4 linked regions of the Elephas maximus indicus genome follow. The protein of the gene in region 1 purifies or fractionates together with the protein of each later gene. This does not show direct contact. Links are inferred from orthologs where the notes say so. Each region holds a gene or a part of one and is shown on either strand. Other genes may lie near its edges. The genes, in order: PFDN2, PFDN4, POLR3B and PFDN1.

Region 1 (7,187 bases):
GCAGGCTGTGGGCCATGAAGCCATCAAGCTGCTGGTGAATGTGGACGAGGAGGACTATGAGCTGGGCCGACAGAAACTCCTGAGGAACTTGATGCTGCAAGCATTGCCCTGACCTTTCCCCCTTCTCACCTCTCTGGGGACTGTTCCCACCACCCACCTCTGGAGCTTACATACTGTTCTGGGGTTTGCTGTCTACCCTTCCAATCACATCCCCTGCCCCCCCCCTTTTTTTTTCAAAGGAAAAGACAAAGGAAAGTGGAAGTGGTATACCCCACCCCTCCCTGTACCCATGTGCCTGGGCTTCCCCTTTGTTTCCCTTTTCCACTTACCCCAGTATGTGTCTCTACAGCCACCTTACCACTGAGCCGTAAGACAAACGTGTAGGGAGAAGCAAAGTCTATAGAACATAGTCTTTGTGAGGGATTGAAGTGAACACTGCTTGTGGGTGCGTTGAGGGGTTATCAATCCTTCTGGCTTTATGAGGGCTCTTAAATTTTGTCTGAAAAATGAAAGGGCTGTGAGAAAGGGAGCTATGTGGAAGGTGGGACTCTGAAGTGTATTTTGGAAATTAATCACCACCCTCTCCCAAATTATAGAATTTTTAAAAAACAAGCTGTGGCCCTTTCCACTCTCTCCTGGCCTCTGGTGCTGCTCCTCTCTGCCTCCTTTCCTCTCTTCCACGGCTTAAAGCCTCTGCCTGGTGTGGCTCCTTCCTTTTTCTCCCTTGCCAAACCCTCTTCAAGGGAGTAATAGGTGAGAGGACTGGATCAGCCTAGTCACTCCTCCCAACTGTGATGTTGTGTATACACATCCACAGGGTGGATGGAGAAGAGTCTGCTGATGAAAATACACTCCCCCTGAAAAGGGGAAGGGGGAGTGTGACATTTTCCTTCCATGTTCAAGTGAAAATAAATAATGTACCCTGCAGCCCTTTTCCCCTTTGCTTTCTTTTGACTTGGGCAAAGGGCATCATATGTGGAAGTGAAGTAATTCAGTATCAATTCCCTCCTTTTTCCTTCCCCATTCTCCACCCCCTCTGCCAAGCCCGGGAGAACAGGGCTGGGACATGCACTGAATGTTGCACTTTCCTTTAGGTCGGGAGGCATGCTGAATAAGCCAGGAGGCCAACAACTAGGGCCCAGTCCAGCTGGTACAACACGACCGCCCCTTCCAACTCCCAAAGGAGATGTCCAAACACAAACTTAATGATTACATTTTTTTTTTCAATGCCAGTGATGCTCAGCTCTCAGCATAACTTCAGTTTTCACGAAATAAACAGTGACTATAAAATCCACCTTTCTGAAACTGAAATCTGAGCCCAGGTGAAAGTTTCTTTCCCAAAAAGCTGAGCACGTGTTCCATCAAAAAGAGTCAAAGTTGTCCAAGTGAGGGCTGCTGTGCCCGGGTCCTGCCTACAAGTCACAGCAGTATCAGCTCACAATGGGGGTCTCAACTCACAGAAGTTAAAATGCTTAATACAATGGTTGACCCAGACTGCCATAGAGGTCAGGCCTGCGGTGCTGGAACACAGGCAGGTGTTGGCGCAACTGTCGTAGATAGTTGAGATCGACTCGGGCAAGGCAGAGGCCTGGTCCTTCAGAGCAGCGGGCCACCACTGTTCCCCAGGGATCCACCACCATGCTGTGGCCGTAACTTGCTCTCTTCTCATGATGGTGGCCACATTGTGCTGCTGCCACTACATAGCACTGGGTTTCAATGGCCCGGGCCCTCAGCAACACCTGGGGGCGAGGAGATGCGTGTTCACTTAACTACACATAGCAGCTAATGGGAAAGTAATAGGTGGAGATTACAGGCCAAGTGCATAATCTACCCTTCGTGACTGTTCTGTCAATTGCCTAGGAAAAGTCAACTATCCTGTAACATATGAGAGCTAGACAACAGTTTGGAGAATGAAATTCGCACTAGGTGGAAAGGGGAAGAAAATCTATTAGTAGGGTCCAGGGAGGAGAACGAGGCTAAGAGACAGCCCTTAGGTTTCAAAGAGGCATCCTCTTACCTCCCAGTGGGCTGGGCCTGTAACAAATCCAAAGGCTGAAGGGTAGGTAAGTATTTCTGCACCAGCTTGAGCCAAGGCCAGAGAGAGTTCAGGGAACCGCATGTCATAGCAGATAGCTAGACCAATCTGGAATGAAAAGTCTATTTAGCCTCCCTGTCCTGTTTCCGACAGCATCTAGTCATACCTCTGCTGTTCCACTCCTTAGGGCTTTCCACCCTTTACCACCACTTTGAAAGTTCTCCTATCCCCCCTCCTCCTTGTTCCTCTCTCACAACTCCCACCTTGCCTGCTGGTGTGCTGACAGGTGGCTCGAGACTGGGCCCAGGTATGGTAGAGTTGCTTTCATGCATGGGTGCCTGCCCTGGGATATCTACATCACACAGATGCGTCTTCCTATAAGTGGCCACTACTGATCCTACAGTAAGAAGGAGAAGAATTGCCAGTGCTGGTGCACTAGAAGCCCAGTTTAGCTCCTCCGCCCATCTCCAAACAGAAGATGGTTTATTGGCTAGGAAGAGAAGTACAAACACCCCTAAAACCCTGGGGCAAGGAATTAAAAGTTGAGAAAACAATTCTGGGGATCTAAGTTTAGGTAGAAGAGCCTGGGAAGAGGCAGGCTAAAGGGTTGTGAAGTCTCACCCTTGCTGTTCAGAAGCACATGACAATTGTAGATTTTCTGAGTCTGCTCCCAGTCTTGGCCACGCTCATGGAAACCACCCAAGGACAGCCAGAGTCCACATTCCCTGGGGGGAGGGGACACAGACAACTCTTCTCAAGGCTCTAGCCGCCTACTGGCAATCCAAGGATACTGCACAACAAAGGCTACCTCTCCCTCCCCTTTTCCCTGATACCTGGCAAGCTCCGTATATTCTCCCAAAAGTTTCCCACCCAGTGGCTCAGAGAGGTGTAGTGTCTCCGCAGGGTCCCGTGCAATGAAGTCAAATGCCTCAGGCAGGAAAGCCAGGCAAGCGCCCAGTCTGGCAGCCTCTCGAACCAGCTCAGCACATGTTTTAAAGTTCTGCTCCTTGTCTGGTGTCGATGTTACCTGGCACACAGCCACCAGGGGCAGTTCCCAGGAGGAAGAGGAGATGGCCATGGCTCTGGGCCTGTGAATGGCACAGACAGAATTCTCAGACATCCCAGCATGGGGAAATTCAAGTTTAATGATAAGGGGTTTAAATGGGGAGACAGGAAGGCTGGACTTCCCTTTGATTCTGCTCTTAACAGGGCACACTGACCAAAGCCTAGTGGGTTCACCAATCAAATGTTCTGTGGATGGTTGGCACCCCTGTGTCTCCCCACCATCCATTCATTTAACATTCACTGAGTATCTACTATGTGCCAGGCACTGAGGACACAACAAAACACATTACCTGTGCTGAGCACAAAGTACTGAGAGTCGAGGTATTCGGAGTCCAGGACACAGAAGGAGGGGCAGGAGCTGGTGACAAGGCCTGATGATGAAGCCCAGCCTGAGGAAGATGAAAAATCAGCACACCGATCCCTCCTTGAAGCCATACGTTTCTGGGATTCTCTAACTTCTCCCTTCACACTGTGAGGCTGAATCAGAACCCTGCCAGTAAAAACTCCCAAGTCTTCAAAACACTCTAAGCAATCATAGGCTACAGGAAGAGGTCACAAAGTAGGAAAGTAGAGGAAGGGGCTCTGCTGGGCGCCGGAATACTTGGACTTACAGCGATCTCACATTACACAGAAGCCCTTTTCCTCTGTCAAACGTTTCCGCAGTTCAAAAGTCACCTACAGGAAACTTCCTTGATTTTCCCAGGCCTTTCTTCTCGACTGTGCGTCTGCACAGCTTTATTGACTAAACGCATATTTCCCCCTCACACCGAGAATCTCCGAAGGGAAGTTCACCCTCCCTCGATCCCGGCCACGAGTACCCAGATCCCAACCCGTGCCCCCACCCTCCAGTCAACCCATCCTTCTCCGCCTCTCCCAGGGGCCGCGCCTCTGTTGCACAAGTTAAAGCACCGCAGGTGGAATTCACCGCGGCCGGCGGGACGGGAAGCAGGTCCTACATCAGGATACAGCCGAAACCATCAGCAAGGTCCGGGGCGAAGAGCGGCCTGGAGCCAAAGGCGCCGGAGGCGAGTGGGCGGTAACTCCAAGACCGGACGTGACGCACGGCGGGGGCTGAGCCGCGCAGGCCGGAAACCCAGCAGGCGGCGAAGATGGCGGAGAACAGCGGTCGCGCCGGCAAGAGCAGCGGTAGCGGCGTCGGGAAGGGGGCGGTGTCGGCCGAACAGGTGAGAAGCGGAGAACGCCAAGGAGAACAACCCCGGCTGGGTCCGTAGTTGATGCGAGGAGAGGGGGGCCTGTGGCTCGCATAGGCCTTTACCCGAGTTGCACATTTGCATGGCCACCTAGAGAGGGGAGGGTCCTTGGAAACGCCAGCCGAGCCCCCCGGGAGAGAGTGGGCCGGTGGGTAGGTGAGAGCCACGCCCCGCTGGGGTGATGGGTGAACCTGGGAGAGTGGAAAGCCCTGGGGTGCAGAGCCTGGGAGGTTGCACAAGTCTGAGGGAAGATGGGTCGTCACTTTCCCCACCTTCCCTCTGCACCCCCGAGGCAGGATATGGCCGGGCAAGGCTGCTCATAAGGAATCCTAGGGCCTTAGACAACGGGCTGGTTGTGTAGTATGTTGTTACGTGACCCTGGAACCACGTGGACAATCGCCGCCACTCTGCAGAGCCACGTGACTCACATACTCGAACAGCCTAGTGTTCTATACTAGATTCGGGTGTCATTACTAGATTGAATTTCTTAAGAGACCAAAAGCCTTTTTCTGATCCAAGTTTGCGTTTCTCCCAGTGCTTAGCGTCAGAGACATTTGATAAATTAATCAGAAAGAACCTTTGTGGCTTGGAAACCATGGTTTGCTAATAGTGGGAAAAAAAAATAGTGTTTGATCGGAATGGTAAGAAACCTACACAATAGAAATGAAAACATATTTAAACAGGATCAGTAATCAAGTGGCATAAGGTTGCATTTGAACTTAGCTGTTTTAATTACAAGTTCATTCAATTATTTGTTGAACAGTTACTACAGGCAAAGGTACCTTGCATAAAAAATTTTAAAACCGTCCGGTGCTATCAAAGAGCTGATAGCCTGGTGGGGAAAATAAAACACAGAAAATACTCATATGAAGCAGAAGACAAGTGTCCCAAGAGAGATGTAAAGTGCTATGGAATTTTGGGGAGGAGGGAAGAGAGAGTTTCTTACTTAGGGGCAGGGCTTTGAACCGGTTCTTCCTGGGTCAGTCTTGGCCAAGGAAGCAACACGAAACAGACCCAGATTTTTAAAATTTTGGTGAACCGGAATGATACCCTGAAGGGAAAAAAATAGGTCGAAACCCTGCTAGAAACCTAATCTCCGTCTTAGAAAACAAGGGCAGCATACGAAGTTGCACAGCAACCAAATCTCTTGCCGGTGGGATTTTGAGCGGAGTCAGAAACATTGGTGCCCCTCTCAAAGATGGCAGGAAACTGTGTGCGTTGCTCTCCGCAGTCCTGCCAGTAATCCAGTTTCATGCCTCAGGCTCCTGAGAGGGGTCATTATGCCTTTTTTGAGTCTCCCATTCCAGGGCTTTGACCATTTTTCCTATTCCTAGTTAACATTCCGGAGCACCCAAATTGTAAAAATTGGAGTCTGTTCGGGTTGTGCTTCATTGGCCATGACTGAATCAGTTGGAACTACTTCAGGGCCCTGCTTAGGGGAAAAGCGGGAGGGACGGAAGTAACCTAGTACTTCTTAAGGGTCTGCCATGTACCAGGCACTCTCCTGGGTACAGGGAAACATACAAATGAAATTGTCTTTGTCTTCAAGTAGCTCACATGCTTACAAACCAAAGATTTTCAGTGTGCCTCACAGCCCCTCCTTTATGGTTGCTCAAGGAGTGACCCCTTAACTTAGCAAGAGGTTATGGAATTTTGGGAGCAGGTGGGCAAGGGAACCTGTGGTGTAGAGGGGATGGCTAAGAGCATAAGAACAGTGCACTGAGATCAGACAGCCCGGGGTATGAATCTCATTTCTTCTGCTTACTCTCTATATATGATCTACAATGAGTTCCCTCAGCTTTTCCCATCTGTAAAAACATACTAAATAGAACTGACTTCATCACCGTATGTTGATAATTAGGCAAAACAACATAAAGTGTTTTCTAGAGGAGATTCTTCTTCAGCTCAGTTCTAAAAGATAAATTAGTTAAGCAAAGAAGGAAGTAGAAGATTTTCTAGATAGAGGAAATAATGTATTAAAAAGCACTAAAGTATGGAGTTGCCCAGCAATTTTGGGGAGCAGGTGGACTCAAAGTTTGAGATGGATTGCAAGATTGAGAGTGGAGTAAAAGAGGAATTGCTCTGGTTTTTGTCTTTGGTGGATAATGGTTCTTTGGGGAATGTAGGAGAGTGAACAAGTTTGTGGGGAAAAATGAGTTTAATTTAGGATTTTGAATTTCAGTTTCTCATGGGATATCCCAGTAGAGACATTTAGTAGGTGGTTTGATCTATAAATCTTGATTAATAAATCCTGAGTTACAGAAGGAAATTTGAGTTGGAGATACAAATTAGAGAGTTATGAGCTTATGGATAGTAGATAAAGCCCTGGTTGTGGATGAAGTCATCTGGGGTATAAGAATGGCGTGGAGGCAGCATCTGGCCCCCTCTAACTTCACAAGGGGGAAGAATCATTATTATCAGTGTCAACAACCCAAGGCTGATTGCATGTCTCCACCCTCCAGCCTTTTTACCAACTCTGATACCATCTGTCACTCCCATGGCAGTCTACATCTTTGTTGGGTTTGATAATTTGCTGCAGTGGCCACCCAAAACTCACAGACCATACCCACAGTTATGGAGTTTATTAGGAATAAATAACAGGTTACAATTCACAATCAATCAGGAAAGTCTCAGGGTACAGTTTTTTGATCATATTAGCCTCTTGTCAGCTGTTCTAGCAGGCAGGCCTTTCTCAGGACCTCGGCCCCTCTGCTCGGCCTCTGCCCTGCCTGAACAAGTGTTAAAAAGCTTTTTAGCTCTGACAGTAAGTGCCTGGAGGCACGCCACTCTGAGGAATCCTCCTGCCCAAAGGTGCAAAGCTTTTTCACTCTGTGGGCCAGGAAGCCCACCACGCTGCTGTTTCCTTGCTGCTGCTT
Region 2 (7,612 bases), on another chromosome or scaffold:
AATGTGTTACAAATGGGAAGTACTTGAAGTGGTTAAGAGCTCGGCTGCTAACCAAAAGGGTTGGCGGTTCAAATCCACCAGCTGCTCCTTGGAAACCCTATGGGGCAGTTCTACTCTGTCCTATAGGGTCACTGTGAGTCAGAACTGACTTGATAGCACAAGACAATAACAAGAAGATACAAACAATTTTATCACAAACGGCAATCATTATGACATGCCGATAAGGTTTCTCCTATAGTGGGCAGAGGGAAAAAGTGTCTGTCTGTGTAGCTAACCTAAAACCAAAACCAAACCAAACCCACTGCCTCCAGTCAATTCCGACTCACAGAGACCCTGCAGGACACAGAACTGCCTGCATAGAGTTTCTAAGGAGCACCTGGTAGATTTAAACTGCCGGCCTTTTGGTTAGCAACCATATCTCTTAACCACTATGCCACCCGGGTTTCACCTAGCAGTGATTACTCCTAACATCGAAAACATCCAGAGCAGCATGTAGCATCTACCACGCGACTCTCGATGGCTCCTAAAGCAAAGAAGAAAACTTTCTGTGTGGCCGCCACTTTCTGTTTCCGCACACGCTCTTTTCCCATCCTGGGTCTCCCCCGGCCCTCTATCCTCTGCCATTCTGGCTTTCCTTTTGTTAAATGCACTCAGGCTCTTTGCAGGAGACACTCCCTCTCTGGAATGCCTCGCCCCCTCGGAACTTTCCCTTCCTCTCGGTGTGTAATCTAACAGATCTCTGCTGAAATGACACCTTCTCAGGAGGGCCTTCCCTGAACTCAGACCAAACCTTACTCCAGTCCTCATTTCACAAGTGCCTTTTCTTCACAGTTCTTACCAAAGGTGGAAATTTTATATTTTTTGGTGTGATAATTTGAGAAACAGGCTGCCTTTCCCCCTAGAGCACATGTTCTGTGATGCTCTGAGGACAACGACTTTACTCCTATTCACCTAACACAGAGACTATGCCATATTGCCTGCTCGAAAATCTCTGCTGAATGAAAGGATAAAAGGTTGGCAACCGCTGATTTAACCGAACCCATAATGGAGTACCCGATGGAAAAATTTTGCAAAGTCCAGGGTTCGAATAATTTTTCTACCATTTCCTCCATTTCTCTACACATCAGTGTCCTCATCTGTAAGATGGGGGCTAACATAACTAATATCTTTCAGGGTATTAAAGGTCATACCTAACAGATGGACCAAATTAGCAAACTGAAGGTGAAGTGAATCTCCCAAAATTTCAGACCTGTTTGAATCACCACGGCCCTGAACCCTCTTCCAGTCCTCAATAAGCATTTGTGAATGACAGACCAGTAGGGTGACCAGCTCATTCCAGTTTTCCCCAGGACTTTACTGGTTTTACCACTGAAAGTCCAGGGTCTCAGGAAACCCCTCAACCCTGAGCAAACCAGGATGGTCTCTGGAGACCAGGGAGAGGTGGCTTAAACTATGCAATACTGAAAAGTAGGAGAGCAAAGGAAGCAAATGCTTCTGAGGTGGCCTCAGAAGTGGAATGAGAACAGACATACAAAAACCTTGGAAAGCAAGCACCTTCAGCCAGGGGATTCTCATGGCATGGGAGTTAAAAACAAGGCTCTGAAGGCAGAAGTCCTGTTTAAATTCTAGCTTTGCCTCTATGCTTGTTTCCTCATCTGTAAAATGGGGATAAAAATATCACATCCCTATAAACCTGTAGTAGCACACAGGAAAGCCGCAATAACTATCGACTGGCATTATGTCCTTGCTCCGCCACCACCACCACCCTCATTTAATTTTTCTTTTACCTGGAGATCTTTAAGCATCGGGGTAGATTTACTGGATTGTAAATCCCAAACTGGAACCCTGGTGGTGCAGTGGCTAAGAACTCAGCTGCTAGCCAAAAGGTCGGCAGTTCGAATTCACCAGCCGCTCCTTGGAAACCCTATGGGGCAGTTCTACTCTGTCCTATAGGGTCGCTATGAGTTGGAATCCACTCAGTTGTAACGGGATTCGTAAACCCCAAATAGGAAGCAACTTGCTTAGCAGGAAAAAAGGTGGCTTTGGGAAAAAACAAACCAAACCTGGGTTTGAACCCCAGATATACTATTTATGAGCTCAGTCACTTTGGGGACACTAACCTCTCTGTGTCTAAGTTTCTCCACCTGTAAGGGGGAAAAGGGGAGGATAAGGGATAACGGAAGACTGCTGGGTCCTGACACAGCCTCTGGCTTCAATACCGGTTTTAGCCTTGCGGGCTCAGGGGCATGGAGTATGGACGTGAGCACCTCAGGGCTGGGCGCACCGACGTGAGGCCAGATAATCCGGAGGCGCAGGTCTGGCTCTGCCCCTCACCTGCTCTGTTACCTTGGGTAGGTTCCTCCACCTCTCGGAAGCTCAGTTTCCTTACCTGTGGGCGAGGGTACTACTAGCACCTACCCAGTAGTAGATCCAGGGAAACCGCTTAGTGTGATGGCCAAATGCGGTCACTGAGAGCTTCGGCTTCCCACACCCCAAGGGCCGCGGGGTCCTCAGACCTCCCAGGGGACTCAGCACCGCGAGAGGCGGCCTGAGCCTGCCGAGGGTCCCAACCCGGGCACGTCGCCTCTGTCGGGCGGCGGCCTAAGAAGACGCCCGGGGCCGCCGGGCGCCGGCAAGCCTCGCCGCGGGGCCATCCTCAGGGCTGAGACCTCGAACCCAGGCCCCACGCCGGGGCTCAGAGCTGCGCATCCCCAGCATCCCGCTGCTCCGACCCCCGCGGCCGCCCCCCGCCGGCTGCCGGAGCACCCGACACCCCGAAGGCCCCACTCACCGCCTTCTTCATGGTGGCCGCCATCTTGGGACTCGACTACGGCGCGAGGTGGGGAGGGCCGCAACGGCGCGATTCTCCCCCGTGCCCTCTCTCACTTCCTGTTGGCCCTGATCGCCTGAAAAATACAACACGATCTCCACATTCCCTTCTCGAAACCTTCAACCAACGATAACTAACGACTCGAACTCAGGAAGGAAGATGAAAGCTGAAAGCACTTGGTACATCCCAATTAAAGGGACAGGCAACCCCCTGTGGGCCCACGGAAACAGGGGGGTGTGGCAAGCAGCCACATAATCCAGCAGCCGGCGGTAGGGGGCGCCCAACGCAAAAAAGCGCAGAGGGGCGGGGCCGGGAGGAGGGGCGACTCCGTGGGCGGGGCCTGGAGAGGAGGAAAGGGAACTTCTATTCCATCTATCCAACAAACTAGCATTTTGATAAAGAGCTAAGAACAAAGGGCTTTGACAATAGGATGTGATATTTACGTGCACTGATAATTCAGAAGGTGTGAAGGAAGAAGTACCCCAATTAATTAATCTATTCCACAATATTATTGGACAACTACTGTAATTTTTTTTTACTGTGTACAGCTTGAGCCTGCCAGTTGCTAACTCAGCAACTCTAGATCGTGATTCTCTTTGTCCCTTTTTTAATACCGGGACTCCTTTGCACTTTTAAAAAGTCACGGAGGACCTCAAAGAGCTTCTGTTTATGTAGATTATATTTATCGATATTTACCACACGAGACCTCTTTAAAGTGTTAAAAAGCAAAGATGTCACTTTGAGGATTAAGGTGCGCTGACTCATCCATGGTATTTTCAATTGCCTCATATGCATGTAAAAGCTGGACAGTGAGTAAGGAAGACACAAGAAGAATTAGTGCCTTTGAGTTATGGTGTTGGAGAAGAATATTCAATATACCATGGACAGCCAGAAGAACGAACAAATTTGTCTCAGAAGAAGTACAGCCAGCGTGCTCCTTAGAAGGGAGGATGGTAACACTTCATCTCACGCACTTTGGAGATGTTATCAGGAGGGACCAGTCCCCGGAAAAGGGCATCATGCTTGGTAAAGTAGAGGTTCAGAGCAAGAGGGGAAGACCCTCAAGGAGATGGATTGGCACAGTGGTTGCAAAGATGGCCTCAAGCATAGGTACGATTGAGGATGGGGCAGGAGTAGGCAGTGTTTCGTTCTGTTGTACATGGGGTCGCAATGAGTCGGAGCCAACTCGACAGCAAAACAAAACCATACAAGAAATTAAAACATAAAAATATATATATGATTTAATTAAAAACAATAAGTTCATTCCATATTAATGTAAGCAACATTTGAATGAAAAATAACTGTTTTCCAAAACAAAAACAAATATTGAGAAGAATGGCATTGTTTTGCACTTCTACAAATCCTTCTAATGTCTGGCTCGGTAGAAGGTTGTATTCTCGTATCTGCTTCTGCAGTCAATCTGTTGCGATATGCTATTTAGTTGAAATACAGTGAAACCTGTGAAAGCCGGAACTCGATGGGAGTGCCTTGTTTTTCCAAGTTTTGCAAGTTTTCCCACCTTTGACAAGGTGCTTACTAGCTCTGTCTATCAAGACTCCTACCTCATTTTGGTTTGGGGTTTTCCTTCTCCAGCAGGTTTCTTCCTTACACAATTTCCAGCTTTCACAGGTTTTACTGTATATGAAGGAAATCTGGCTTCACCCAGATGTATAGTTGGAAAAAGGAAGCCCCTGTGGTTTCACTGGAAAGATCTCAGGGATCCCCAGGGGTCCTTGGGCCACACTGAGAACTGCTGCTCTAGACAAGTCTTCTCCTCTCTCCAAGTTCCAATTTCCTGTTTGGTTAAATGGGGGCAAGGGGACCTTATAGTGCCTCTGCTTTCCCTACCAAAGCACTTAGCCCCACAGTGACTTTGCCTGTTCTTCCATCAGATTCCCCGCTCTGGGCGCCAGGCCCTTTGTAGGCAAGTCTTCCCAGCACATAGCTCACACTTGCTCAGCACATATTTGTTGAAGGAAGGAGTTTCTTCAGGTTAAGTCTTTGCACAGGGCCCAGCACCTAGTAGATGCTCCATCAGTGACACCCATTCATGCAAGAGCTCACAAAGAACAGCTATATGGAAACACTGTAGAAGCAGGCAATGGAGGGGGAGACAGGACAAAAGCACAAAATCACCACAAATGGCACCAAGTGCATGAAGGAAACAAACGAGGGGCTGAGACAGAGAAAATCAAAAGAGCAGTAGAGACTGGCCCTGTAGAGGTGGCCACTGAGCTACGAATAGGAAGGAGCCAGCCATGGGGTAACCAAAGGAAAAGGACACCCCAGACAGAGGGGGCATTGGGGTGGCCACTGCAGTAACTGCTGGGTGTAACAAGTGGCCAGAAGCAGGTGAGGCCAAGGAAAGGTGAAACCAAGAGGATCTAAAGTGACAAATGACAGTTGTGTGAATCAGAGACCCATAAAGTAGGCTTGGAAACTCAGATGGTGGTGCCTGGAGGATACCTCTGGGGTGACTGAAATAGATTCTGTTCAGGTACTCACAATTAGGATGGTCCGCATGCTAATAGATGTGCCGCTGAGTAGCTTCCTCATCAGGGGCAAGCTTGTTATCATGCCTTCTCAACATCTGAGTCTCTTGTTATCTATTCATGGAGCCTAAATGCTACACCAGGACATGTTTGGCTCTGAGGACAGAAGGCCTAACTGAGAGTGGCTGGTATAATAGGGGGTCATTTTTTTTCCTCTAACAAGTGACATGGAGGTAGGTAAACCCTGGTGGCATAGTGTTTAAGTGCTATGGCTGCTAACCAAAAGGTCGGCAGTTTGAATCCACCAGGCGCTTCTTGGAAACTCCATGGGGCAGTTCTACTCTGTCATATAGGGTCACTATGAGTCGGAATCGACTCGACAGCAATGGGTTATGGGTGGAGGTAGGTGATGGCTGGGCAGGCTCAGCAGTTCCAGGAAGTTCTGGCTCTAGACTGGATATTCTGTGAGTCTTTGGCTTTCCCTTCACAAGATGGCTGTTGCTTCTCCAGGTCCTCATACAAGTACATATGAAGACAGGGAAAAGGGGACAGAGCCCACGTCACCGTTTACGCTCCCCCTCATGTGTTCTCTCTCTCTCTCTCATGTTCTCTCTTTTTCAAGGAGGGAAACCTTTCCCAGAATGCTCCAGCACCCTTGCCCTTATGTCTGTCTTTTGGGCCAGAACTGAGCCATATGCCAACCTCTAGCTCAGTCACTGGCAAAAGCAATGGATTAGTGATTACCTTAAACAATCATGATTGTTATGGCTGAAAATATGGCTGCCTAAATACAATTGCCACCACCTGTCTGTCAGTGTGTCATACTTTGGTGGCTTGGCTTGTGTGTTGCTATGATGCTGGAAGCTACGCCACTGGTATTTCAAATTCCAGCAGGATCACCCATACTGCACAGGTTTCAACAGAGCTTCCAGACTAAGACAGGCTAAGAAGAAAGGCCTGGCAAACTATATCTGAAAATCAGCCAATGAAAACCCTATGGGTCACAACCGAGTATTTTCTGATAAGTGCTGGAAGGTGAGCTCCCTAGATTGGAAAAAAAAAAAACAAAAAAATTTAGATTGGAAAAAAAAGGCACTCAAAATACACAGTGGCCACAACAATCAAGTCTAGCCTGCCAACAATTGTGAAGGTGGTGCAGGACTGGGCAAGGTTTTGTTCTGTTGTACTTGGGGTTGCCATGAGTTGGAGCTGACCCTGGCAACTAGCAACAACAAACACAATTGGGTTTCTGAAAACAAGGAAAAGGAAGAAGGAGGTAACAGCTGTTGGGCCAGCAGCCAACAGTGTCTTCCACGTGGGAGTTCTGGGTTATCAGACGAGGATTGTCAACAAGGGCTGGGTCAAATGGGGCTGGACAGAGGCTCAGGGACGAGGGGAGTGTCACTGAATCTGGACAGATGGACTGCTCCCTGACAGCCTTGGCTGTAAATTGGCTCACCTTGGAGACCCTTGTTTCATTGGTGCTCAGAGGTTCTCCTCCATTTTTCACAGTCCGTACCCCCTCCTCTCCCCAGCCCCGGGTGTCATTTCAGCTAATCTCTCTCCTAGCAGGAAACCCAGTTCTGCAAGTACACATCTGGGACTTTCAAGCTTTCTGCTTAGCATTCTTTCAGTTCCTTAATATCGAGAATTTCCAACTTTCATTTCCAGCTCTTTCGTTGGCTGGGGACAGTCCTTAGCTGTTTGCAGCAGAGAAAGGAAGAAGCCCAGGGTGTCCGTGGGAGCATCCGGAGACTGCAGGTGAGGGAAGGAAATCACTAATGACCCCAAAGACCACTTGGAAATACCATGCTGACAGAGGGTGAATGATGGCGTTCGCTTGCATCAGGTTGAAAACTGGCTGCCTGCTACTGTATTCGACCCACAAAGAATTTTTTTTTTTTTAATTGAACCAGCATTTAAACATTGGCATTTTTTAGTGTTGCTTGAGCTTGTAAGATCAAGTCTTGTCGACGCTTCACTTCCTCCTGAAGGTACCTGTTGATGCTGCTGATTAAATGGTGACCCATTTAGCTAAGCGGCCCTCTCCAGAGCCCGCAGATCCCCACTCATGGAATGGATACACAATTGGAGGAGCTGCCTCTGTGGTGGTCTACCTGTCAGGCCCCTCCAGGCCTACAAACGTGCAACGCCCCGGCTTCTGTTCCGATACAGCTAGATGAGGGGGTTTGTGTGTGCTTGATTCGTTTGAAGCTGTGCCATACCAGATGCTATTGTAAATAAACCCATTGCCATTGAGTCAATTCCAACTCACAGTGACCCTACAGGA
Region 3 (6,845 bases), on another chromosome or scaffold:
ACCCATTCCAAGGAAAGGTAATCCAACTGAATGCAGAAATTATCAAACAATATCATTAATATCACACACAGGTAAAATTTGCTGAAGATCATCAAAAGCAGTTGCAGCAGTACACCAACAGGGAACTGCCAGAAATTCAGGTCAGATTCAGAAGAGGATGTGAAACAAGGGGTATCATTGCTTATGTTAGATGGATCATGGTTGAAAGCAGAGAATACCAGAAAGATGTTTTCCTGAGTATGCAAAGGCACTCAACTGTGTGGATCAGAACAAATTATGAACAACATTTCGAAGAATAGGAATTCCTGAACACTTAATTGTGCTCATGATGAACACGTACTTAGACGAAGAGGCAGTCGTTCAAACAGAACAAGGAGATACCGATTGGTTTAAAGTCAGGAAAGTTGTGTGTCAGGGTTGTATCCTTTCACCATACTTATTCAATCTGTATGCTGAGCAAATAACCCAAGATATTGACGGCATCAGGATTGGAGGAAGATTCATTAACCACCTGTGTTATGCAGATGACACAACCTTGCTTGCTCAAAGTGAAGAGGACTTAACGCACTTACTGATGAGGATCAGACTATAGCCTTCACCATGGATTACACCTCAACATAAAGAAAATGAAAACCCTCACAATTGGACCAATAAGCAACATCATGATAAACAGAAAATACTGAAGTAGTTAAGGATTTCATTTTACTTAGATCCACAATCAACGCCCATGGATGCAGCAGTCAAGTAATCAAAGGACACATTGCATCGGGCAAATACACTGCAAGAGACCTGTTGAAAGTGTTAAAAAGCAAAGATGCCACTTTAAGGACTAAGGTGCGCCTGACCCAAGCCACAGTGTTTTCGATCACCTCACATGCATGTGAAGCTGGACAATGAATAAAAAAGATCAAAGAATCGCTGCCTTTCAATTGCGGTGTTGGGGAAGAATATCAAATATACCATGGACTGCCAAAAGAATGAACAAATCTGTCTTGGAAGAAGTACAGCCAGAATGCTCATTAGAAGCGAGGATGGCAAGACTTCACCTCACATACTTTGGACATGTTGTCAGGATGGACCAGACTCTGGAGAAAGACACCGTGCTTGGTAGAATAGAGGGTCAACAAAAAAGTGGAAGACCCTCAATGAGATGGACTGACACAGTTACTGTAACAATGGGCTCAAGCATAATGATGATCACGAAGACGGTACAGAGCTGGGCAGTGTTTCGTTCTGTTATACACAGGGTCGCTGAGTCAGAACTGATCGACAGCACCTAACAACAACAGGCCTCCTTCTTCAGCTATCTGGTGAAGTCATCCAGTCAGTAGTTAAGGAGGAAGACTCTGGAGTCAGACTTCCTGAGTCCAAATTCTGGATCAATCACCTACCAGATTCTGACACTAGGCTAGTTACTTAACTTTTCTGGGCCTCAAAACCTCATTGGCAAGATCGGGGTGAAAACTACTTATTTCCAAGGATTAAACAGCATAATACATGTTATGCTTAAACAATGCCTAGCACATAGTAAGTGCTCAGTAAATGCTATTAATACTAACTCTTCAAGAGTTAAAATCCAGCATTGCCTGGTGATCAGCAGTGTAAGGCGGGCATTCATAGACTGAATTTGATTGACTTCACAGAGTTGCCAAATGATTACAAGGAGGTTCTTACAATCTAATACATTAGTTGTTCATTTCACTCTCCTACTTAAACTCTTCAATCGCATCTCACTGCCCCCAGGAGAATGTTCAAGCTCCTTCATATGTTTAACAAAGGCTTTCATAATGGCGCTCATTACCTACCCATCTTTCATTTCTTTAAAAAAAAAAAGTTGTCAGTCAATTCCGACTTATAGCAACCCTATAAGACAGAACGGAACTGCCCCACGGGGTTTCCAAGGCTGAAATCTTTAAGGAGGGCAGACAGCTATATCTTTCTCCCAGTGGGTTCGAACTGCCAACCTTTCAGTTAGCAGCCGAGCGTTTAACCACTGCTCCACCAGCGCATCTCTGCTCCTGTCTTTTTCTTCATAAACATCGGATGGTCTTGCCTACAAGGGTTCAAGTATTCTCTCTACCTGAAATCTCTCCCCTATCTTCTCCAGCCTCATTTCTCCACCTTCCCATTCCATACCAACCAGATATAATACGCGCCTTTCCAGATAATAAAACTATTTCAGTAGCTGAACTTCACTAGGCAGCTCACTGCAGGCCGGTTACCCTCAACTTCTGAGAATCTGATCAAAGTTACGGAGCTTCTCCCCAGAAAAACAAACGCACACATAGGCAAAAATCTGGATTAATTTTCGGGGCGTTTAAAATATCTCAGTAGCCCACATTTGAACTCCTGGCTAAAAGGAAAGATCCCCAGCCCGAGACTGACAGGATTTGGTTTTACTGCTACAACGAGCTCGGAACCTAAGCTCCTCGGGGCCCTGGCTCCTTCTCCATGAGGCTGGGGAGGTGTAATACGTCCCCCCGCGTGGGTGCAAAGGCCAATCCTCCCAGACACACGAACAGTGCCCGGGAAGGGGTCCACCTCAGGGCCCCCGCGAGCCTTCCCAGGCCCCACAGCGGCGGACGACTCGTCCCGGCTCAGCCCTTCCACGTGCACGCGGCGGCCGCGACGCGAAAGAACCCGGACGCGCGGACCCGTGAGCATGCGCAGTAGCCGCTGGTGGCCCTCTGCGGCGAGAGCTCTCGGGGCAACGCCCCCTGAGGACGCGTCCCGGTCCCTTCCGCTCCCCGCGTGCCCGGGGCTCACCTCCACCGTCGGGATCGGAGCTGCTAGCTGCTCCGGGGTCAGGTTCCCAAACTCCTCCGCTAGCACGTCCATCCTGCCCACTCTGCTCACGATGAAGGAAGCAGCAGACAGAACCCTCACGCCCGGCTTCGCTGCCCCAAGCAAATTGCAGCATCCGTGGAGAGCTGTGCGCGGAGACCTAAATCATCCCGCCGGGCAGGTTTATCAGGCACACAACGGAAAGGTTCCGTCTGCTGCCTGCCCGAACCTCTGCGGAAACCCGGATGTGGCTGAGGCGGAGCCGGAGAACTGCGCCCTCTGGTGTAGCTCGGAGGTCTTGCCGGGGTAATCCCAACCCCCTGCCAAAGAATTCATACCAAAACCAGCCCAAACCCTTTGCGACTCACAGCGACCCTATAGGACAGAGTAGATCTGCCCCATACGGTTTCCAAGGAGCCCCTGGCGGATTCGAACTGCGGACCTTTTGGTTAGCAGAAATAGCTCTTAACCAGTATGCTACCAGGTTTTCCAAAGAGCTCATAGCCAATTAAAATAATTGAAGCCAGTAAGACGTGTTGGTTGTAATTTTTAAAATAATTCCAGGAAAATTGTGAACGGATAATTTGCGCATCTTAGGCCAACGAGGCAGAAAATGTATTTAATTCAATCTGAAACTGTATACATTTTATGAAAAAATAGGAAACTTCCCAAACGCCTCATAAGGGATTAAAGTATGGCACGTGCATGTAATTTATTATATAACCACCGAAATGACCTTGAAGGGAGGAGGAATGAACACACTAGAGAGTAACACCACAGTGATAAGTATTCTCAAAGGACTAGACAGAAGACCCAGCAATAAATACAGTATGAAAAAAATGGCTTATTCAATAAATGATGTTGGAACAAATGATTATCCTTTAGGGAAAAAAAATACGTCTAAGTAAATCCTACTGGATTAAGTATTTAAATGTTAGCAAAACTTTAGAAGAAAATACAGGTGAATATATTCATACCATTGAGGTGGTGAACAGGTGCTGACAAGGTGGCAACACAATCAGAAATCATGAACGAAAATCATGGTAGAGTTTAGCATAAGAGATCATTCTAAACATGATTTTTTAATTTCATGAAAAATTTAAAATTGTCTGTACAAATGTTTAAAAAATCATCATGAATACAGATTTTTAAAAACAAGTTGGCAGAAGACAAAAATTGGTATTCCTAATTTACAATGTTGTCGGTGTTAGGTGCTGTGGAATCAATTTCCACTCATAGCGACACCACGTGACAAAGTAGAACTGCTCCTTAAAGTTTTCTCAGTTGTACTTTACAGAGGCAAATCACTAGGTCTTTCTCCTGCGAAGCCAGAGCTGTTGGATGGGTTCAAATTGCCAACCTTTTGGATAGCAGCCAAGTGCTTAACTGCTGTGTCCTTTAATTTACACTTGGCTCATACAAATCAATAGGGGGAAAAAAATCACAGGGGAAAAACTAGGCAAAAGATACTAACAAGCAAATGGCTAATATGAAAATATATTCAACCTCATAATGCAAATGGAAACAAAATAAATCATTTTTCATCCACCAAATTGGTACAGATAAGATTTACATTATCAAGTGTTATCCAGAAAGTAGACTAACAGGCTCTCTCTTACATTGCTGGAGGGAGAGTATGTTGTTACTGTAATGCTACAATCTTTCTAGAGGTATATATGTATTTTTTCCTTTGACCCAGCAATTCCACTTACAGGTATTTATTCTAAGGAGATTACTGAAAATCTGTACAAACATGTATGTACAAGATCGTCCAACTGAAGCATTTTTTATAAAAGCAGAATACAAGAAACAACCTAGATGTCAGCTGAGTAGCTGATATGATGATGCATTGATACACTGCAATGATAAACATCCATTGAAGTAATTGCAGAAATCTCTGTTTTTGACATAGATGGCCACACCTGTTGATAAGTGAGAATGGAGAAAAAACATGTTACATGAATAATGTCCCACCTATGTACATTACATGCATTCGTCAGTGCAGAGGGTTAAAGGGAATGATTGTAACTGGTTATCCCTGGTTGGTGTGATTTGCTATTCTTTACCGTTTCCAGTATTGTTTAAATGTTTTACAGAAAATGTGTAATTTTTATCATTGAAATAAAGCTATTTTCCTTTTTGTGGGGGGAAATCAGCAACCACTGCCGTTTAAAAAAAAAGATGCAAAAAATTTTAATACATGGAAAAATTATCAATAGAATGGCAAGTGAAAAATACAGTAAAAATTATAGATGTACATGATGAACTCAAGTTAGTAATTTTATAATATGGATGTTCAACACGTATTTATTGATTTCTACTAAGTTCAAGGCACTTTGATAGGAACAGAAAAAAAATATTGGGAGTAAACACATCAAAATATTAATACAGGTTATCTATCACTGGCAGCTTCAGGGCTGATTCTATTTATTATTTTCTTTTTTGCATTTTTGTATATTGTCAACATTTTATATATATTTTTTTAATCAGGAAAAAAAAATTAGAGGATATAAAAAATATACCTGGCTAAAAAAATCCAGGTAACTCATACTGAAGTATGTAATTTTGATCAAAACTAAATATATAGTCTAATAATGTGCATTTTTTTCTTCTTGAAACACACGTTATTTGTACAAAACCGGTTCTGCCTGAATAAATCTTAAGGGCATTTCAACCAGTCATTTATCCACAAACATGTGGGAAGACAAAAATAAATTTAATGTAACGTGACGTCTGGTAGTATACATATAGCGGATAATCTCGAAGCTCAAACCCCAGTGTGCCAAACAGAGGTACAACTTTATTTTTCTACAGCTGACCCTAATTTCTACTTTCAGCCCTCCTCCCCCTGAGTAGGCAGAAACACGATCTCCTCTAATTTGGGGTCCCATCTAAGTTCCAGCGGGTTTTCATAGGATGAGGGCATGAGGAAGGGCAGGTCTATTTTCTTTCACGTCATCTATAATGATGGCATCTGCTGAGGTGCCGGTCATCAGTGCTCAGTCATCACTCTACACGTTGCCTTCTGTCATTTCCACACCACACTTGCGTGCTTAGCAAGACCTCAGCCCTGACTAAAGCCAACCCTGTGCCTGCTCCACGTCTGCACCTATGCAAGTGAATGAGGAGGGAGCAATGCAACCATGTTGAACTGGTTTCACTTTAAATTCATGCCAACTAATTTCATGTAGGAGTCCCTGGCTGGTACAATCAGTTTGACTACTAACCAAAAGGTTGGAGGTTCGAGTCCACCCTGAGGTGCTTTGGAAGAAAAGCCTGGCAATCCGTTTCGGAAAAATCAGCCAATGAAAACCCTATGGAGCACAGTTCTACTACGACACACAGAGGGTCCCCATGAGGCAGAATCAACTCTATGGCAACTGGTTAATGGTTAACATCATGTAGACCCCTAATGCTGCTGTACAGTCACATAGTCTCTCTAGTCCATTCTCCACTTCACCTAGACTTGCCTTAAACCTTCCCTGTCCTCCCTCTCAAGGACCCTGCTGGCACAGTGGTTAAGAGCTCAGCTGGTAACTAAAAGGTGGGTGGTTTGATCCATAGGAGAAAGCTGTGGCAGTCTGCTTCCATAAAGATTTGTTGTTGTTGTTAGGTGTCATTGAGTCAGTTCCAACTCATAGTGACCCCATGTACAATAGAACAAAATACTGCCCAGCCCTGTGCCATCCTCACAATCGTTGTTATGCTTGAGCCCATTGTTGCAACCACTATGTCAGTCCATCTCGTTGAGGGTTTTCCTCTTTTTCACTGGCACTCTACCAATTACGATGTCCTTCTCTAGGGACTGGCCCTTCCTGATAACATGTTCAAAGTATGTGAGAAAAAGTCTTGCTATCCTTGCTTCCAAAAAACATTCTGGCTGTACTTCTCCCAAGACAGATTTGCTCATTCTTCTTGTAGTCTATGGTATATTCAACATTCTCTGCCAACACAATAATTCGAAACCATCAATTCTTCAGTCTTCCTTATTCACTGTCCAGCTTTCTCATGCATATGAGGCAATTGAAAATATCACGGCTTGGGTCAGGTGCGCTTTAGTC
Region 4 (6,892 bases), on another chromosome or scaffold:
GAAGAAATGCACATTAAACAGTAACTGTAACAAGTCGCAAGCACCCAGAGTAATAAATGCAAGTTAGAAGAGAAAACCCAAAGATTAAAAACAAGAACAAGAAATGTAACAACTCACTACATTTGTATCATACTTCTAAGTTTCAAAGCATTCTCCCACATTAATTTGAATATTAATATGAGAATATCTATTAAATATCTCACTCCTCTCAATAACCCTATGAATTAAGAACAGCAGTCTCAACTTCCACAATTTACAAAGTGACTAAAATCATTAGGAGATTTGTGCACAGGGTTGCACAACTATTAGGTGAAAGGCAGGTACTTAAATCCATTTCTTTTGACCCCTATTTCAGGCATCTTCCATTTTACTGTCTTCAGTATTATTCAGAATATGGATATTTTTTAAGAGAAACACCAAAAAAGATAGAAAATGCAAAGCACTGGTAGAAGAATTGTGTCATGCTCTTCATACACACATGCCAAGCCAAACTCTACCCTGTGTATGCTTACTTAACTTGAACATAAACACAGGTCTTGGATACTCTTATTGAAGTGCCTGGAATGACTTCCACATGCTGTCAAACTTAAGCCTTACTAATAACATTTGTGACTACAGTACATGGCAAAGACTACTACTTAACTTTTATTCTGACTTTGTTCTCACCTACTAGTAAGGTATCAAAAGATTTGTTTGGGGGGAGGGAAGGCACCTAAAATTTCCCATTAGTCTCCATCCAAAAAAAGATCTTGAAAAAACATTAGAAGATGAAACCTTTGAACAAGTTTGCCGGGTTTTTTTTTTCTTTAATTGGTTGTCAGAACTATCCAATTTAAGTATCATTCTCATTTACATCTTTGTCTACATGTTTCTTAGCAACAAATTAATATTACAGGGTAAGTCCATTTAGTTTTTTTTGTAGTAAATTCAAATAATACTGTAAAGTCCATTCACACTTAAACTCCCTTGTTAGATCTTTCAGTAAACTACTAAATTTGAACTTTTAACAGAAAAAAAAGGTATAATTTTGGAATGCAGTCTGATAGTGTTCTGAAATGTAAAATTCCAGGTATTACCTGATTGTTCTCAACACAGTTTGTTAAGGAAGCTCGTATATTGTTAAAGCTATTACAGCACTAGAGAACACTACATAAGGGCTAAATTTACGGGTTTTAAGACAAAAAATGGCAAAAAAAGACACAAACACACAAAATCCTCACAGAAATAACAAACAGCTTCATTTATTAGGAGCAACAGCTATTTCAGCTGTCCTATTTCTTATGCACAAGCCCTGGTAGCACAGTGGTTAAGAGCTGGGCTGTCAACAAAAAGGCTGGCAGTTCAAATCCACTAGCTGCTCCTTGGAAACCCTATTGAGCAGTTCCACTCTGTCCTATATGGTTGCTATGAGTTGGAATCAACTCAACAGCAACGGGTTTGGTTCTGGGGTTTGATTTCTTATGCAAAGGCTGACCAGAAGGCAGTCTCAAGAAGTAATATGATGGACTTCTCAAGAACCTAAATTAATGGTCAAAAAAGTGTGGGGTAAGATAAAGAATACCGGATTCTAGTGCCAATCTTTGACTATAACTTTTCTGGAACTCAGTTTCCTTTTCTAGAGAAGTATACATTTAAGCTAGATGATTTCCAAGGTCCTTTCCAACCTCCCTCCGAAAAAATGGTATGGTTTTGGATGGTTAGGGTTAGGAGCCCCAGTGGCATGGTTAAGGCTCGGCTCCTAACTGCAAGGTTGCTGGTTCCAACCCACTGGCTCTTACGTGGAAGAAAGATGTGGTGACCTGCTCCTGTAAAGATTACGGCCTTGGAAACCCTATGGGGCAGTTCTACTCTGTCCTATAGAGTCACTGAGTCAGACTCGACTAGGCACCAATGTGTTCAGCGGTGTTAGAAACCTGGCAACTCTTAGATAACAAAATCTGAGTAACACATTTTTAAGCAATTATTTTAACAAAGAAACCCAATTCCTTCTGATATCTCTTTCATTGGTAAAACTTTACTGGACTTAATTACTTTTTTTGTCAAATCTTTCCCAAAAAGGAGCCCTGGTAACTCAGTGGTTATGAGCTCAGCTGCTAACCAAAAGGTCTGCAGTTCGAATTCACCCGCTGCTCCTTGGAAGCCCTACAGGTCAGTCCTACTCTGTCCTATAAGGTCGCTATGAGTCGAAACTGACTTAACAGCAACAAGTTTTTTTGGTTTTTCCGAAAAAGAAAAGGGGGTCAAAGTCCTGATATGAACATTCCTATGAAAATACCTGACTTTCTGAGCTGCAGAGACTGCAACCTTTCGAGGTACGGAATCAAATAAAAAAATTAAAAAACTGTCGCCGTCGAGTCGAGACAGACTCATAGCGACCCTACAGGACAGTAGAGCTGCCCCAATATGGTTTCCAAGGAGCGGCTGGTGGATTCGAACTGATGACCTTTTGGTTAGTAGCTCAGCTCTTAACCACTACACCGCAGGGCTCCATGGAATCGAATAAATGGCCTAAAAAGACAAGTTGGACTGGAGTTTTTCAAATCAAATGAAGCGGCAGAATTGCAGTTCAAGCAAGCCGCCCGAAGGAGCTCCAATCTGAAACGCTCTCTTCGAGTTTTACTATAGAACTGAGTCCCTGAAGGTTCCTAGCGCAACAAAACGGCTCTGGAGCTCAGAACGAGGGACAAGCCAGCGATCGGTCCGCAGACTTAAAGAGACCCACCCAACCGGCTCCTATCCAGCAAGAGCCACTCGCCCCCTCCCCCCCTTACCCAAGCCTAAGGAGACCCGGTCCCGCCTTAGGATTCTGGGAAACCACTTCCCAGTCCCCTGGAGCCTCTTTTTTTTTTTCTGTGGAACTCGGGCCTCAGTCGATACTCTTGTCTACAGGCCCCTCAGTTTCGAAAGAGAAACCTCTACCCGCTCAAAACCCTCTTTTACCTTCTTCAACTCCAGATCCACGGGGGCCGCCATCTTGGCTGACTTTGTGCGCCTGCGTATTGGGAGAAGGCCGGAAAGGAGACGGGGGAAGGGCGCGCCCTGAAGAAACTGCCTGTTCGCCTTCCTTCTACGCCTGCGCGTGAGTGAGGCGGTCTCTGAGCGGTTGGTCTGGCCTCAGAGTCTGTCTTCCCCACATGGCTTATCAGGCTTGAGTTGCTCTTCTCCATCCTTCAGACACGGCCCAACGCACAGACTACGTGTATGGGCTTAAAAAAATTGACAAATAGCTTAGTTTGTACTGCTAAATTGAGATGTATGTATATCAGACCAAACCTTCAGTTTTTCAGTCCTCCAGCAGGTCCCTGTGCTGACAGGGATGAGTAAGAATGGGTCCCTCGCCTCAGGCATGCTACTTTCATGCTGCTGAGTGCTCTCTGAAGACCTAGACAAAGTGGTTCTCGAGAGAAATCCAGTAAGTTTATTGAAAAAATACATGTTTCCTGGGCCTCATCCGGAACTTGTTAGTTGCCATGGAGTCTGCTTTGACTCATGGCGACATTATGCGTAACAGAAGGAAGCGTTGCCTGGTCCTGTGCTATGCCATATTTATGATCGTCGGTATGTTTGAGTCCGTTGTTGCAGCCATTGTGTAGTGCCATTTCACCTAGGGGGCTTATTTTCCACTATATCGGACAATATTCTGTTGTGATCCCTAAGGTTTTCATTGGCTAATTTTCGGAAGTAAATTTCCAGGCTTCTCTTCTTCATCTGTCTTAATCTAGAAGCTCAACTTAGACCTGTCCACTATGAGTGACCCTGCTGGTACTTGAAATACTAGTGGCATAATTTCCAGCATCATAGCAACATGTGAACCACCACAGAACTACAAAATGGCAGTCTGGTGGTGGCATCCCAAACGTACTTAAAATCTTTGACAGTGGGGCCTGAAAATAAGCATTTTGCAAACTCTCTGATGACCTAATGCAAGGCATTAGTGGGCCACATTTTGAGAATTTCTGCTCTAAAAGGACCTGACATTTGAACTAGAGGAATGAATAGTATTTGGACTTTTTGAAATGGAGGAAATAGATGTTTTATCTACCCTAAAAACTGAGGGAGAGGGAAGATCAGGGAATTTGGAACGAGCAAAATTCTGGATCTGGATTCAGGGCTTGGCCTACATTGAGCTTAGGTCTATTTGGTTCCATTTACTAACTGTGTGTCTCAGCAATTCATTTATCCTTGATGAGCTTCAATCTCCTCATATTTCACTTAGGAATAACAATATCGATCTAACAGGGTTATTGTGCAGAAAATGGGATCAGGATGAAAGTTCCAAGGACAGCACCGTGCACACAGTAGATAATAGATAGTTGCTGTAGTTAATATTATCCTGTTTGCCCTTCAAGGTCCAGCAAACATGCCACCTCTTCCGTTATGTCTTTTTTGATCCTTACATAACCTATCACACACACCAAAGATAATCCCTCCTCTAAATTCCCTCAAGACTATATCTGTTTCTCTCTCAGGGCACTGTGGTGCAATGAATCACTTTCACATGGCTCTTCTAGCCATGGTCTTGTACTCCCACAAAATGATTGGCTGGAACTATGCAAATGGAGTGACTATGGTCTACCAAGGGGATTGGTCAGTTTGTGGTCCTGGTGGGAGGGCCATGACTGGAAATTGACAAGGGGTTTCCTTACATAAGGGCCAATCACATAGAGGTTCAGGGGACCTCACTACCATCAGGAAGAAGAGTCTTGAGCAGAGCACGTCCTTTGGACCAAGGACCTTTGGGTCCCTTCCATGAGAACCTCCTCAACCAAAAAGAAAGCAAACACTGAAGACAGCATGAGATGGCAAGAGACAGTGGCTGTGAGCATGTCAGCCCACTGAGCAAGGTGGCTGTGGTGGGGTTGCAGGCCCACAGAGTGAGAGCTGAGCACCTTCGAGCAGAAGACTTACAGGCAGAGCTAAAATAGCTGTAACACTTGCCTGTGCAGGGCGGATGTCTGAGTGTGTCCCATGCAGGGGTTGCCTTGGATGACCCTGTGCAATATTCCTACTGCAGGGCGAAGCCGGGAGCCTTTGGCCAGGAGGCTTGCCACAAAACCCAGTACCATCGAGTCGATTCCAGCAGAGCTAAAAGAGCTGGTAACGCTTGCTCCTGCAGGGAAGAGAGGCCTGAGTGTGCCTCTGCAGTGGTTGCACACCTCCCTCCCTGGGCAGCAGGGGCCCAGGTAATGTGGAGGCAAGAGAGCCCTGCAAGCCTGGGTAGTGTGGCAGGAGCCAGCAGTAAAGGCCAGCAAGGCCCAGTGGCAGCAGAGGCCTCAGGAGCCATACAGGACCCCACAAGCATCATGGTGGTAGCCAGAGGCAGCAGTGACATGAAAACAGCATCTGACATCTGACCTGAACTATGGCAGTCCTGCCCTGCAACATAAGATGGACATGGATAATTTGGGGAAGGGTAAGCGATTCTCCTTTGGTGAATCCGTTGTTACTATTTACTGTTTGCTTTCTATAAATAATAATGGCTTTCACTTTCCCAACATTGTATAAGTGCCTCATATGTCCAGCTCGAAACAGATGAATGTAACACCCATAGAATTGGTGATGTCAGTGGGTGTACATGCCTCATTCCTAGCAGTCTGTGGCTGCCTGAAAGTTTGAGGCACAGACCGTCTGTATGTGTAAGGCAGATAGACAGACACGTAATTCATACAGGCGTGTAACAGTTTCTACCTTATTTTTTGAAACATTTTTTATTTGTTCTTACACCCCTTACCCCAGAACACCTATCATAGTGCCTCACAGGAAAGAAATACATAAGAAATCTTGGATATAAATGAATTCTTCAGAAGAAGAAAACTGTCATCACTCTCTAACTTTACAGAAAAACAGGCCTAATTCATAATTTTAGATCCTCTACTGCCTTCTTAGAACTTCATTATAAAAATTATAGATGATCAATAATAGTGACAATATTGAAATTTGAAGGTTTCGGATACTTTGCTGTGCATTTCATCATGTGATTTTGAAACGCTCCTCATGAAAAAAAAAAAAGTATGTAACATGAAAGTACGGGCTAAGGTCAGACAGTTTAGGTTCAAGTACTGACTCCTTAATATCAATGTGCCCCCAAAGACTGGACAGGCCCATAAAACAAAACATGGCTAAAGGGGAACACCAGCCCAGAGGCAGGGACTGGAGGGCTAGAGAGTATAGCAAAGCTGATAACAGGGAACTCAAGGTCCAGAGGGGAGAGTGTTGACATGTCGTGGGGTTGTTAACCAGTGTCATAAAACACTATGTATACTATTTAATGAGATGCTGGTTTGTTCTGTGAACATTCGTCTAAACTACAATTTTAAAAAAAAAAAAAGATCAATGTGCCCTTAGGCAAGAGTCTTCTCTCAATCTTTTGTTCATTGTTTCTTTTTGCATCCCACTCCTTCCTCCTTGGTTTAACTTCCTTCTTGATGAAATAAATCCTTCAGTAGGTTCTCTTATTAAGTCTTTGAGGAATAAACTTTCTTTTTTTACATTAATATATGATTTATTTTATTTTTGTTGTTGCTGAGCATATACATACCAGAACATACACTAATTCAACAGTTTCTACATATACAACTCAGTGACATTGATAACATTCTTCGAGTTGTGCAACCATTCTCACCCTCTTTTTCTGAGTTATTCCTCCCCATTAATATAAATTCACTGCTGTCTAAGTTTCCTTTGTAATCTTTCAAGTTGCTGCTGTGAGTTTCATACCATATAGATAGATCATAAAAGAGCACAATGCTCAAGTCATTCTTTACTAGTTAAGCAAAACTATCGTTTGGTTTTAAGAAGACTTCAGGGAATATTTTTGGTTTAAGGTTTAGGATTACCTCAGGGCAATCATTTCAGGGGTTCATCCAGCCTTTATGACTCCAGAAAATATGGT

The links.
Region 2: the proteins of PFDN2 (region 1) and PFDN4 purify together in Homo sapiens (affinity purification with mass spectrometry; 6 studies listed by BioGRID and IntAct, counting the BioPlex papers as one, with this or other methods). This does not show direct contact. The link is inferred for Elephas maximus indicus from reciprocal best matches to the Homo sapiens genes PFDN2 and PFDN4.
Region 3: the proteins of PFDN2 (region 1) and POLR3B purify together in Homo sapiens (affinity purification with mass spectrometry; 3 studies listed by BioGRID and IntAct, with this or other methods). This does not show direct contact. The link is inferred for Elephas maximus indicus from reciprocal best matches to the Homo sapiens genes PFDN2 and POLR3B.
Region 4: the proteins of PFDN2 (region 1) and PFDN1 purify together in Homo sapiens (affinity purification with mass spectrometry; 5 studies listed by BioGRID and IntAct, counting the BioPlex papers as one, with this or other methods). This does not show direct contact. The link is inferred for Elephas maximus indicus from reciprocal best matches to the Homo sapiens genes PFDN2 and PFDN1.

Annotation. Positions count from the first base shown.
Region 1 is NC_064821.1:199,927,125-199,934,311, reverse strand, and holds the start of PFDN2 (prefoldin subunit 2), read left to right. Parts: upstream 1-4,172; 5' UTR 4,173-4,209; coding exon 4,210-4,284; intron 4,285-7,187. Other genes in the region: DEDD (death effector domain-containing protein), read left to right, coding at 1-112; NIT1 (deaminated glutathione amidase), read right to left, coding at 1,473-1,739, 2,018-2,143, 2,299-2,432, 2,657-2,760, 2,869-3,123, 3,391-3,489, 4,057-4,058. UniProt on the Homo sapiens protein: Binds specifically to cytosolic chaperonin (c-CPN) and transfers target proteins to it. Binds to nascent polypeptide chain and promotes folding in an environment in which there are many competing pathways for nonnative proteins.
Region 2 is NC_064843.1:15,426,238-15,433,849, forward strand, and holds the start of PFDN4 (prefoldin subunit 4), read right to left. Parts: upstream 3,013-7,612; 5' UTR 2,816-3,012; coding exon 2,792-2,815; intron 1-2,791. UniProt on the Homo sapiens protein: Binds specifically to cytosolic chaperonin (c-CPN) and transfers target proteins to it. Binds to nascent polypeptide chain and promotes folding in an environment in which there are many competing pathways for nonnative proteins.
Region 3 is NC_064822.1:173,470,849-173,477,693, reverse strand, and holds the start of POLR3B (DNA-directed RNA polymerase III subunit RPC2), read right to left. Parts: upstream 3,024-6,845; 5' UTR 2,839-3,023; coding exon 2,767-2,838; intron 1-2,766. UniProt on the Homo sapiens protein: Catalytic core component of RNA polymerase III (Pol III), a DNA-dependent RNA polymerase which synthesizes small non-coding RNAs using the four ribonucleoside triphosphates as substrates.
Region 4 is NC_064820.1:153,561,251-153,568,142, forward strand, and holds the start of PFDN1 (prefoldin subunit 1), read right to left. Parts: upstream 3,006-6,892; 5' UTR 2,974-3,005; coding exon 2,941-2,973; intron 1-2,940. UniProt on the Homo sapiens protein: Binds specifically to cytosolic chaperonin (c-CPN) and transfers target proteins to it. Binds to nascent polypeptide chain and promotes folding in an environment in which there are many competing pathways for nonnative proteins.